3 linked regions of the Macaca fascicularis genome follow. The main gene of each other region encodes a partner of the protein of the gene in region 2 in a complex. Links are inferred from orthologs where the notes say so. Each region holds a gene or a part of one and is shown on either strand. Other genes may lie near its edges. The genes, in order: TAF1A, POLR2H and GTF2A1.

What was found.
Region 1: POLR2H (region 2) and TAF1A share a complex: the UniProt entries of both Homo sapiens proteins name them as parts of the pol I pre-initiation complex. The link is inferred for Macaca fascicularis from reciprocal best matches to the Homo sapiens genes POLR2H and TAF1A.
Region 3: POLR2H (region 2) and GTF2A1 share a complex: the UniProt entries of both Homo sapiens proteins name them as parts of the TBP-based Pol II pre-initiation complex. The link is inferred for Macaca fascicularis from reciprocal best matches to the Homo sapiens genes POLR2H and GTF2A1.

Annotation. Positions count from the first base shown.
Region 1 is NC_088375.1:80,553,644-80,557,292, forward strand, and holds part of TAF1A (TATA box-binding protein-associated factor RNA polymerase I subunit A), read right to left. Parts: intron 1,883-3,649; coding exon 1,816-1,882; intron 1,079-1,815; coding exon 955-1,078; intron 1-954. UniProt on the Homo sapiens protein: Component of the transcription factor SL1/TIF-IB complex, which is involved in the assembly of the PIC (pre-initiation complex) during RNA polymerase I-dependent transcription.
Region 2 is NC_088376.1:96,285,705-96,289,453, reverse strand, and holds the start of POLR2H (DNA-directed RNA polymerases I, II, and III subunit RPABC3), read right to left. Parts: upstream 2,333-3,749; 5' UTR 2,198-2,332; coding exon 2,125-2,197; intron 726-2,124; coding exon 642-725; intron 559-641; coding exon 465-558; intron 1-464. UniProt on the Homo sapiens protein: DNA-dependent RNA polymerase catalyzes the transcription of DNA into RNA using the four ribonucleoside triphosphates as substrates.
Region 3 is NC_088381.1:149,188,844-149,192,592, forward strand, and holds the start of GTF2A1 (transcription initiation factor IIA subunit 1), read right to left. Parts: upstream 2,519-3,749; 5' UTR 2,085-2,518; coding exon 2,055-2,084; intron 1-2,054. UniProt on the Homo sapiens protein: TFIIA is a component of the transcription machinery of RNA polymerase II and plays an important role in transcriptional activation. TFIIA in a complex with TBP mediates transcriptional activity.

The sequences.
Region 1 (3,649 bases), on a different chromosome or scaffold from region 2:
ACCTGAACTCTACTCATAGTAAATTTCCTATACGCAATACAATATTAACTACAGTCTGTGTTGCACATTAGATCTCTATAATTTAATTGAGCAAATGCTTATTGGCACCCATGTGCCCCCTATGGTAGAACAAACAGCAGTTCAAAAAAATGAGCCTCTTTGCTTTCAAGGACCTTATAATCTAGTAGTTTATTCAGTGCTTGAGATTTAGAAAATGGTTTACAGTGAGTGTGTCAACATATGACACCAAAACCATTTTATAAACAGCACTGTCCCATCAAGACAAGTCAGATCTGAAGCCTGAAACAAGTTACAACTGATACTGAATTGCCTAACAACTCAACTGGATATAATAAATATATGAAACAATTTTGTGATATCCCTTCTTCTCACACACTAAGTAAAAATAACAGGAAATTCATTTTCCTTTACTCAAAATATGACACTAATAATATTATAATCAAAGGTACACTTTTAGATACCCAGGTCACAATGGATTTAATGAGTACTTGTTGAATGAATAGTGTATGATGATCTTGTGAGGTCCTAAAAATACTCACTGAAAAAATGATCAAACACAGGTAGGAGGAAAGGTGCTTCCCATGTGATCTTACAAGTTAATGACGCACAAATCACGAGTCATTAGCAAAGAGTGATCCCTGCTAGTCTTTATTTCCAACTGGAAAACACATACATAGTCCTTAGCAAGCAGCAGTGCTAAGCACAGGATTTATTTTGATGGCATAAAAAAAATTGATAGAATTTTTGTATGTTCCCCTTATGACTCTGTATTTCTTTGCTTCAGAAGAAAATGTACTCAGAAAACAGCTAAAGACACAGTTCAAAAAAATCCAAAAACATAAGTAAAGATCTTTAAAAATTGACAGATATTAGCTAAAATATTGGGAAATATTATTTATGATGACCTAGTAATAAATACTGTATGTTTCTTACCCCATTAAGGTCTTTTTCAGATATTTTGCCAAGTATTTCCAAGCAGTTATATTCTTAGTGCATCCGGCAAAATCTAAGACTCCAAATAATACCTCCAACCCCAGTTTATGGTGTTCTTCTTTTTCTGCAATGGTTGTAACAATTCAAGTTTACATAAGGTATTGAAATGTACAAAGCTAAAAGATACATGTATATACTTTATCAACTGTATATATACTTTACATATATGTTGTTGATAAAATACTGAATCACAAGCCTTCTGGTTAACAGTTTTTAAAAATTCATTATGCTTTTACTCCTGCAATGAATCTGAAAAACTCAGTAAAAATTCCTGCTAATGAGGTAATGGTGGTGAGTCTGATCTCAATGTGGGTTACACTCCTCTACTGAGAACATTACTTAAAGTACCTGCCCTGTTTGGGAATTTTATACATGTTATTTTATACTCAGAGAGGAACCCAGGCAGTCCTAGGACAAGTTTGGGCTTAGCCAACTTATTTCCTTCTATGGTGTGCTGAAATCTAGTAGGGATTAAAATGGAGTGAATTATATAAAATTGAGCCATTTCTCTTTTGCAAACTACTGCCTTCACCTTGTATGACAGGAGTAGGCAAACTTTTTCTATAACGGCCCAGATAGTAAATATTTTAAGCTTTGCAAGGCATACAGTCTCTGTCACAACTACACAGTTCTGTCACTATAGTGCAAAAGTAGCCGCAGGCAATACATAAACAGATGGACATCAACAGAACTTGATTTATAAAATCAGGCAAGGGGTGGATTTAGCTGATGGGCCATAGTTTCCTGGTCCCTAGTCTATAGCTTGTCTACAAAAGGTAAAAAACAAAATTTATTTATTACCTGATTTTCTAAGTAATGTATGGAATTCCAACATCAATTTATGAGATGGTACAATCTGATACAAAATCTGAAAGAAAGAACAGTCTTGTAATTTTTACATACTTGTAAAAGCATTTCTCAGATTTCAGCTTACCTTCAAAATAAAGTTTTTACTATCTAATATGCTCTCCATAAATTTATTAAGTATTTTTAAACTACCTTGCTTTTTATCTAGTTTCAATCTAAGCATAGAAAAGTATTCTCTGTAAAGCTGGGTTTTTTTTTTTTTTTTTTTTTTTTAAAGTCCCTGCTAACAAGACAGTCAGGAGAATCGAGGGAAATAGGCAGGGACTTTTTATTTGCTCCTTATATACATCTATATTGTTTACCATGCTCAACAACTTAAAGCAATTTATTTCAGAAGCCAGGACTGAAGGAAAAAAAGAAAAAAATCAATTACCACAGAGAAAATATACTTATTTACTAAACAGAAGAGATCACAGAATATTTATATAAAGCAAAAAAACTAAAAAGGCTGGGAGTTAATTTCACAGATTGTGCTCAGGAACAGTTTACTAAGGGTATATGAGTAAATATTTTAACAAACTTTCACACAATGAAAAAATTTCTCTTTTAAAAAACAGGAAGAACTATTTTTATGAATATTCAAAAAATGGAATTTAAAATAATACTGTATTTTTCATTTTAATACATTTAATTCTAGAATGAATTCATTCTGCTTACTAAAGTACTTTGACCTTACATTGAAATAATTTCCAACAAAATTAAAAGTAAATTTTGTTAATTTCTGTTAATCATTTTCAAAAAGATCAATCAAGATCAATACACCAATATCAGAGAATATTATTGAAATTCGGTTCCTATGAAAGCCACATTTGTCTCATGATTTTATAGAATTCTGTTTATGGCTCAATTCACTTTTTTTTTTTAATTGAAATATAACATGTAGCAGAAGTGTATACAAATCATGGCATCCAGTCAGTTTTCACAAAGTTAAACACTCAGGTAAACAGCACCCAGATCAAATAATAGCACATCACCAGAACGCTAGAAATCCTCCATTAGTTTTGAAAATTTCTTAGTCATGAGCCCTTCAAATGTTAGGGTTTTTAAAAAATTAGTTTGCTTGCTTTTGCCCTGTTCTATTCAGAGGTACTCCACCTCGGACTCCAATGACAAATATGTCAGATCTTTTCACCAATTCACTTGTATGCTCGTTTCTGCACCTTTCATCCTTTTTGTTCTCCATGGTTTAGCCTGGTATTTTCTGTGCAGTTCATTAATCCTCAATTTTGCTATGTTCAATCTGCTATTAAACCCATGTATTGAGATCTTAATTCCAAATACTGTATTTTTCAAAAGGAAAAACAGAATTTCTCTAAATCTATCTTGTCTTGAATATAAATGAGATAAGTATTCAACAGTTATTTTCTGTAGCATTTTTTAAAATCTTTTCAAAAACACCATTAGTGATTGATAACCTGAATGAAAGCACAGTCTTGCTTTTGTTTTAAACACAATCCTTAATATTTTTTAATATAAATGAGCCAAAAGCTATCTTAACAGAGTAAAATAAAAATAGCAACTTCAAAGGTATTGTTTAGTCCAGCCTGGGCAACATAGCAAAAGCCCGTCTCTCCAAATATACAAAAAATTAGCCAGGCATGGTGGCATGTGCCTGTAGTCCCAGCTACTCGAGAGGCTGAGGTGGCAGAATCACCTGAGCCAGGGAGGTGGAGGCTACAGTGAGCCTCACGTGTTCATGCCACCGCACTCCAGCTTGGGCAACAGAGTGAGACCCTGTTTCAAACAACAACAACAGCAAAGGATTATT
Region 2 (3,749 bases):
TGGAATTTTTTTCTTTTTTTTTTGAGACAGGGTCTTACTCTGTCACCCAGGCTGGATTGCAGTGGTACAATCATGGCTCACTGCAGCCTCAACCTCCTGGGCTCAGGCAATCCTCCCACCTCAGCCTCCCAGGTAGCTGGAACTACAGGCATATGACAACATGTGCAGCCTTTTTTTTTTTTTTTCTTATTTTTGTAGCAGTGAGGTTTCGCTATGTTGCTCAGGCTGGTTTTGAACTCCTGTACCCAAGCAATCCTCCTGCTCGGCCTCCCAAAGTGCTTAGATTACAGGTGTGAGCCACGGTGTCTGGCCTGTTTGAATTCTTAAGTGCAGAAATTTCCTTAAGGTTACTCAGATTCTGCTGATCATCATTTATTCCAGGAATTAAAGAAGAGTCTTTCTATATCACTTATCTACTTAGTTCTCAAGGCATATTCCAAGTATTACCTTCTCCACTACCTCACCTGGAAGGCCTATCATCAGTGGGGTTGTATTCACCATCATCCAGGGTACCATCTTCATACAAGGTACTAGCTATGACCAACCGGAACTTGTCACCTGAAAATAACAGCAATATCAGAGAGTGAAGAATAGCGGAAGCGGCAAAATGCCTCTTATTATTGTCTGTGTTCAATACTTACCCAAGTCTACAGGGTAAATTTGAATGTTTACATCTAAGATTAGATCCATCTTGAAAGATTCACTCTCACAATGCAGTCGAGACACTGGGGAGAAGCAGGAAAAGAGTGACAGAGGTATTGCCAGGCCCAAGGCAGATCCTACAGTGTGGGATTGTATGCAACAGAATACTCAATCTAACCCAGTCTACAACCACTGGTCTCTCATCTGCTCTCATAGAAATGCAGGCTCCATCAGAACCAGACATGCAAGAAGGAAAAGGGGAGAAAAACTGTGGCAAGTGAACGTAATCCCCAGAAAACAACCAAAGATACTTCAGCAGCAAATAATACCCGGTTCTAGGCCTGCCTGGATGACTGAGAACCTGACTCTGGGCAAGTTATTCAATCATCCAAAGGTTTCCTCTTTCTATGACAGGCACTGTGCTGAGGGGAGTTATCAAGATGTATAAGAACTGGTATCCGTCTTGAAAACATCTGAGTCTCCAGGCAAAGAATGAGACATCAAAAAGAAAATTATTGATAGATGACAAAATTAAGAGGTGTAGGCCAGTGGAGTGGCTCACGCCTGTAATCCCAACATTTTGGGAGGCCGAGGCAGGTGGATCACTTGAGGTCAGGAGTTCGACACCAGCCTGGCCAAAGTGGTGAAACCCCGTCTCTACTAAAAATACAAAATTAGCCAGGCGTGGTGGAGCATGTCTGTAATCCCAGCTACTTGGGAGGCTGAGGCAGAGAATCGCTTGAACCCGGGAGACGGAGGTTGTGGTGAGCCAAGATCGTGCCACTACACTCCAGCCTGGGCTCGAGGCTCTGTCTCAAAAAAAAAAAAAAAAAGGATATACCAAGCAGCTAACTCTAACTCAGAGAAGACTTAAAGCGCTAAGGATTATGAGGGCAATACAAGAATATAGGCTCTGAAGTCAGATTACTCGCTGTGAAGCCTTGGGTGGATTACTCTCTCAGAAAATAATGGGGAAGGCACCACCCACCTCATGAGGACTCTCATTTTCTTGAGGAGTCTCGCTCTGTTGCCAGGCTGGAGTGCAGCGGCGCAATCTTGGCTCACTGCAACCTCCGCCTCCCAGGTTCAGGCAATTCTCCTGCCTCAGCCTCCCAAGTAGCTGGGATTACAGGCGCCCGCCTGTAATTTTTGTATTTTTGGTAGAGACGGGGTTTCACCATGTTGGCCAGGCTGGTCTCACAAGACAGTGTCTAGCACAGAGCAGGTAGCGATTATAAAGATGCCCAGGAGTTTGCCAGCACCATGACAAAAGGCCACCTAGGCACCGGGCACGGCATGCGTGAAGCCAGAGAAAGCTCGGGAGTCTCCCTTTTCTCATCCATAAATTGTTTCCTGAGGGAGGTCCCTACATCAGGACCTGCTGGTAGGGGCAGGCCACAAGAGCTGGGTGGACACGGGGTCCAGGGGCATGTCCGCGAGGTTAGCCTCTTCCTCCAAATCGCCCCTACCTACTTTACTTACCTCGGTCAAACTTCTTGCCCTCCGGGTCAATATCCTTCACATCGAAAATATCTTCAAAGAGGATGCCCGCCATCGCGAGGGGGCCACGAGAGCAGCAGAAGGGGTGAGCGGGCGACCACAGCTGGGAGTACGCGCACCCGCTCTGGTGCAGAAGAGGGGAGAAGAGCAAAACCAGCTTTTACATGCGCGGCAGCCAGACAAGAGTGGCGCATGCGCACAAACAAGTGGTAACGCGCCCACTTCCGCCACAGACTCCCGCTCGGGGCTACTTAACTTCCGCCCCAAAAGATTGCTCCCGAGAGGCTTCGGCGTTGAGGGCGGGTCTCACGTCCAGGTGGCCCCGCCCAGGGCGGGGAAACAATAGGTCCAACCTCCCGCGGCTGTAGAGCGGGTTCTAGCGCTCAGCTGGGGCTCTGCTGCGCCCTCTTCAGAGGCCGGGTCCCGAAGATTGGAAGTCGTGGGGGCCTAACCCAGGCAGGGACCTTGATCCTTGGCCCAGAGAAGCCGGGCCCTAGCCCTACCCCGCCGGTCTGCGTGCCCGCCTAGGGCACAGTCCGCGCCGAGGGCAGGTGGAGCAGAACCCCGCCCCAGAGGTGCCCAGCCCCTCCAGCCGGCACCGCGGACCCCGGGGCCTGCCCGGGCCGGCTCGGCCCTGCTGGATGTAACCCGAGCCGGATCCGTCCAGTTTGGGAATTTGCCATGATGTCGCTATGGAGAAGAGGAAAGCCTGTATTGTCCCCTCCCCTCGTACTGCACCCTCCCACCACTGCCCGCTTCCCCCAGGCCCTGCTGTCTTCCCCGTCACCGCCCCCTCAGCCTGGCTCCCGCCACCCGCCTCCCCCGGGCATTACCCCTCCAACTTAGTCCTCCACTGCCTTCTCCTGGACACGGATCCCCTCCGTGCCCCTTCAGCCTGGCACTGCCCTGTCCCTTGGACACCAGCTCTTCCCTCACACTGGCCCTTCCTCCTGGGTGCTGGCTTCTATCACAAGGCTCCCCCTTCCCGGGCACTGCCCCCGCCCCCTGAGGCCCTCCTCTGCCTCCCAAATGCCCCTTCCTCCTGGTGCTGGCTGTCCCGCACACTTGTGCGTTTCCTGGGCGCTGCCCTCGCTCCTCTCACACTATCTCTATGCTGCCCATCCACCCTGCGCGCGCTCTGCCATCTGTTCTATCCTTCACCAGCCCCTGATAGAGAACCCAGAGCACCAGCAGGCGGTTCCCCCAAAGCGGAGAGATGGAAGCAGCGACTCTGGTTCCTCCTTGGGCCCAACCAGGGAGAAGCGACCCACGCCCGCGTCCCAGAAGTGGACTTCCCGGCACCTGGAGCTCCCTTCCCTCCGGCCTACCCCTTCCGGTGCCCTCCCCAACCTCCACCCCTGCACACCCCGTAGGCCGGGTTGCTCCAAGTGCACCTCCCCAGGGGAGCCCCGAGAAAAGGAAGGATGAGGAAGACGGCTCCAATTCCCTCCGAATTCTCCCAGCTTTGCTTTTCACCCCTGACGGGGCAGAGGGGCCTTCCTGGGCCTGTCTGGGCCGCTCGTCCCTTCGGAGGGACAGAGGGGAGGCGGCTCCTAACGAGCTGACCCGGAGGAATCCGATGTAGACAGCTCCGCAGCTCCCAGCCC
Region 3 (3,749 bases), on a different chromosome or scaffold from region 2:
GCAGAATTGTTCACAATTTGAAAAGCCCTCAAGGTAATTTTTGAAAAGTATGTGGGCACATAGTATTCGAAACAAGAAATTTCTAAATTATTACTTAAAATTCTACGCTATATTTCAGGCAAAGCTTCTATCACGAAATACAATTTAGGTTTATCCTGATTTTTAAAAAACAGGTTATTTCAAACTTAAGAACTGGTAAATAAGAGGGCCACTAGTGGCATTAAGTGATTTGTTAGAAGGTTTCCTTCAAAAATGTTAATTCCCTGATGCAATGCTGGAAGATAAACTGGAATAATTTTTACACCGGATATCCATGTTAATATCCAAGGCAATAAAGTTCTACTTAGAATTTTTTTTAATCCAGTTTGCAGCATGTCTCTTCCCTGTAATTACTCATGATTCTCATACACATAAATGGTCCTATACTGAAGCTTTAGGTACTTATCTATTTCTCTGAAAAGCCTCGTGTCTTTTATATTTACTATAGGAAAACATAATGTAATATTGGGAGCTATATTTCTAACATATTTCTTGAATACTTAAACAAAACACTACCAAAACCGAGTCCTCTGCAGCTAACACTTTCAGTGTAGAAAACAGTTTTTTAAATTCCCGAAAATAATGCACACAAGAAAAACGGCTAGACCATCTTATCTAAAACTCTTTGTTTTAAATTATAAATTTTGAAAACTGTAAACAAAATAAAAAGGGACAGCGATTCGGATATATTTCCCCTAGCAAACAAAGAAGGCAAATCCTGGCTGCTGCTAGGAACAAAACCAAAACTTGGGGCTCTGAAAGCAGCCCCCGACGGATGAGAAATTACAGCGTGAAAAAAGGACCTAGAAATAAATTGAGCTCTGCACGCGCCTGGCTCTCGCCTCGGGAGCACGCACCTCCCAGCCCCGCTCTCAGCAGCTCTCACTATTTAAAGCCGGATCTGGTGTTTAAATGGAGAGGCGGTGACGTAGTACTGAAAAGCACCTTCCCATCCTGGCAGAGTCTATATTAGAGAGCGGCAATGGCTCTATATAAACAGGGCAGCCAAAGGGAGGAGGACCACAAGGCTCAGGGACTGAAAAGCAGGGTAAGCGGCCGCAGCCATGATGGATCGACCCGAGTCGCCAACGGTACGGTGTCGGGCGGCCGCGGGCTGGTCTGCGGCATTTGGGACAGGGCAAAAACGTGTTTTATTGTCATCATAAAAATAAGAGTTGGGTGGACTAGTGATCACATTGCGTTGGTGACTGAAAAGGTTATTTATGTGACTGCTTTTTGCAAACCTACGTGATCTCAAGTAACCAAAAAGGGACCAACGGGAAGAAGTAGGTAAATTTCAAGGCGAAAGCGGGGACACTTGGACCACTGCAGGCTTTTTTTGTTTGTTTTGGTGCTTCTGCTAGTCGAAGATACGATGGGGGTCTTCCCCTTCGCCATTTTACCCATTCGGAAGGAACTGAGATAAGTGCTTTTCAACCAACCTTCCTCCTTTTTTTAAACATAAAATGGCCCCAGTGAAGGTTCCCAAAGCACAACAGCCAGAAAAAACCTAAGTAACCCCCAAAGTAATCATTATTCTTCCACTGCATTAAAGTGGATCACGGTGGGTCTCGGGGGTTCGCCCGATTCCCCAGACACGGTTTTTGTTCTGCAGCCGCTCGGGGAGCCCTCGTCAAGACAGCACGGACGGGCCCCTCGCGGGGAAGCGGCGGCTCCCCTCCCGCCCTCCCTCCCGGCGGCCGGGTTCTGGGGCCGGGGCTGCACGCCCGCCCGGGCCCAACCGCCTCCGCGGCCCGGCCCGGCCCGCGGCTGCCCCAGGCCCCGCCGGCGCCCCCGCCCTCCCCGCGCCGCGAGCCCTCGGCGCCCCCCCGCGCCCGCCGCCCGGCGCTCCGGCCCGATCCGCCCGAGGCGGGAAGCGGCGGCGGCGGCGGCGGCGGCCGCGCGGACGGCTGAAGAGTCGAGGCCGGGAGTCGCCGCCGTCCCCGCCCCCGCCCGGTCCGGCCGTTGCTGCCGCCTGAACGAAGCCCCCGCCGGCCACCGAACCACGTCCTTACCACGGTGTTTGTATTTGCCGAGTTCGCCATTTCCACACACAACACAAACAAGAGGGGGCAACCCCAAGAAAACAAGATAAAAACAAAACCAAAAAAAAAAAAAAAAACTAAAACACCCGGAGGGTGACCCAAATCACCACAAGATTGGGGAAAAAATTTTAAACAAAATCAATCCTGAAGGAGTAAGGGAGAGCGGAGAGAGGAGGAGGGGGGCACTCCTCCCGCAGCTAAAAACCTCGAGAATCGCCTTTAAAAAAAAAGCCACGACCCTTTAGGGGTCCGGGGGGCGTTGCCCGCTCCCCACCCCGCGCCAAGGAGGGAAACCACCACCGGTCGCCGCTCCCTGCGCCGCCGCTGCCGCCACCGGCTGCAGCTCCAGCCGTCCGGTCCGCCCGCTTCTCTCCTTTATATAGCGAGCCAACAAGCTGCGCGAGCCGCCACCGCCGCCGCCGCCGCCGAGAAACAGGGTGAAGGGGGAGGGAGGGGCGGAAAGGGCGGGGGCAGATGTGGGCGGGGCTGAGCGCGAGACACCGCGAGAGCCGCGTGCGCAGGCGCGCCGGGGCGGAGGCCGCCGCGAGCCGCGTTGTCACGCGCCGTGGTGGGTGCTGGGCTGGCGGAGCCCGGGGAGTGAACTAGTGTAGTCGGACCTACGCCTCTCCAACGCTCGCCTGATCACGTGGTTGGCACCCAGGCGGAAGTCTGCGGCAGTTCTTTGCGGTGAAGTACTTGCAAAGCATTGCTGGAAAAGACGCGAGTTCTAGTGACACTCCGAAGCTAGGTGGGACCGCCTCCTGTCGCACGTTTCCGCCCGGTCCCGCGCTGTAGGAGCTAGGAAATGTGACAGAGGCGGTGCCTACTGCCTCACTAGGAATGGCCGCGGAGGAGGATTGGTCACGTGGCGTAGCTTCCGGCCTCTGGCGCGTTCCTATTCGGGAAGGTTTTAAATGCGGAGTCATCTCTTGATTTGTCAGCGAGGCTTTGACTATAAGCTTCTCGGCTTTCGCGCCTCACCAAGGGTGGGTCTTTCGCGCGCAGAATTGTATAGGATTTCCCAAAGGGAGTAAACGCCGATCGGGGCCCACTTTTAACATTCCAGAATTAGTAACCTCTGATTCGTTTGTTTCCACACTGGGTACGCTGCGAAGACTAGGCTTAAGTTGCCCAGAGGTTAGTTCTCTACTAGCCCACGTACTTTAATTTATCACGCTAGTGGAGATGCGGTGGGGAAGAAAACCCCACCAGCCTTTGGATTATAACAGCACAGTAACTTTCCCTGGTTTTTAAAAATATTGCCAAAATACTGCGACTCCGCATGGCCAACGTATAGTGACTGATCACATTGAAATGCATGCCCTTGACCCAGCAACTCTCATGGCCTCTCGCTATAAGAGAGCAAGCAGGCTGTGTTCCATGTGCAATTCAATAAGCTTTTGACCTATTCTGCCCAAGCAAATCCTGCCTTTATATCGACATTGCAAGCGGAACAGAGAATGCTGTTTGGAAGGCAGAATTCATAGTACCTAATTTTCTTGTCCCTGGGAATTTTGAGGGACTTGAGATGTCGCTTGGATGAGTGAGGGAGTTTGTCTTCCAGAGACAAAGCAAAACGAAATGTCAAAGTTCTGTGCTGGTGAAACCGGATTTGAAAAATATCAAAGGCGTCTTACCAGAGAGGGAAAAAAAATGAATCCTGCC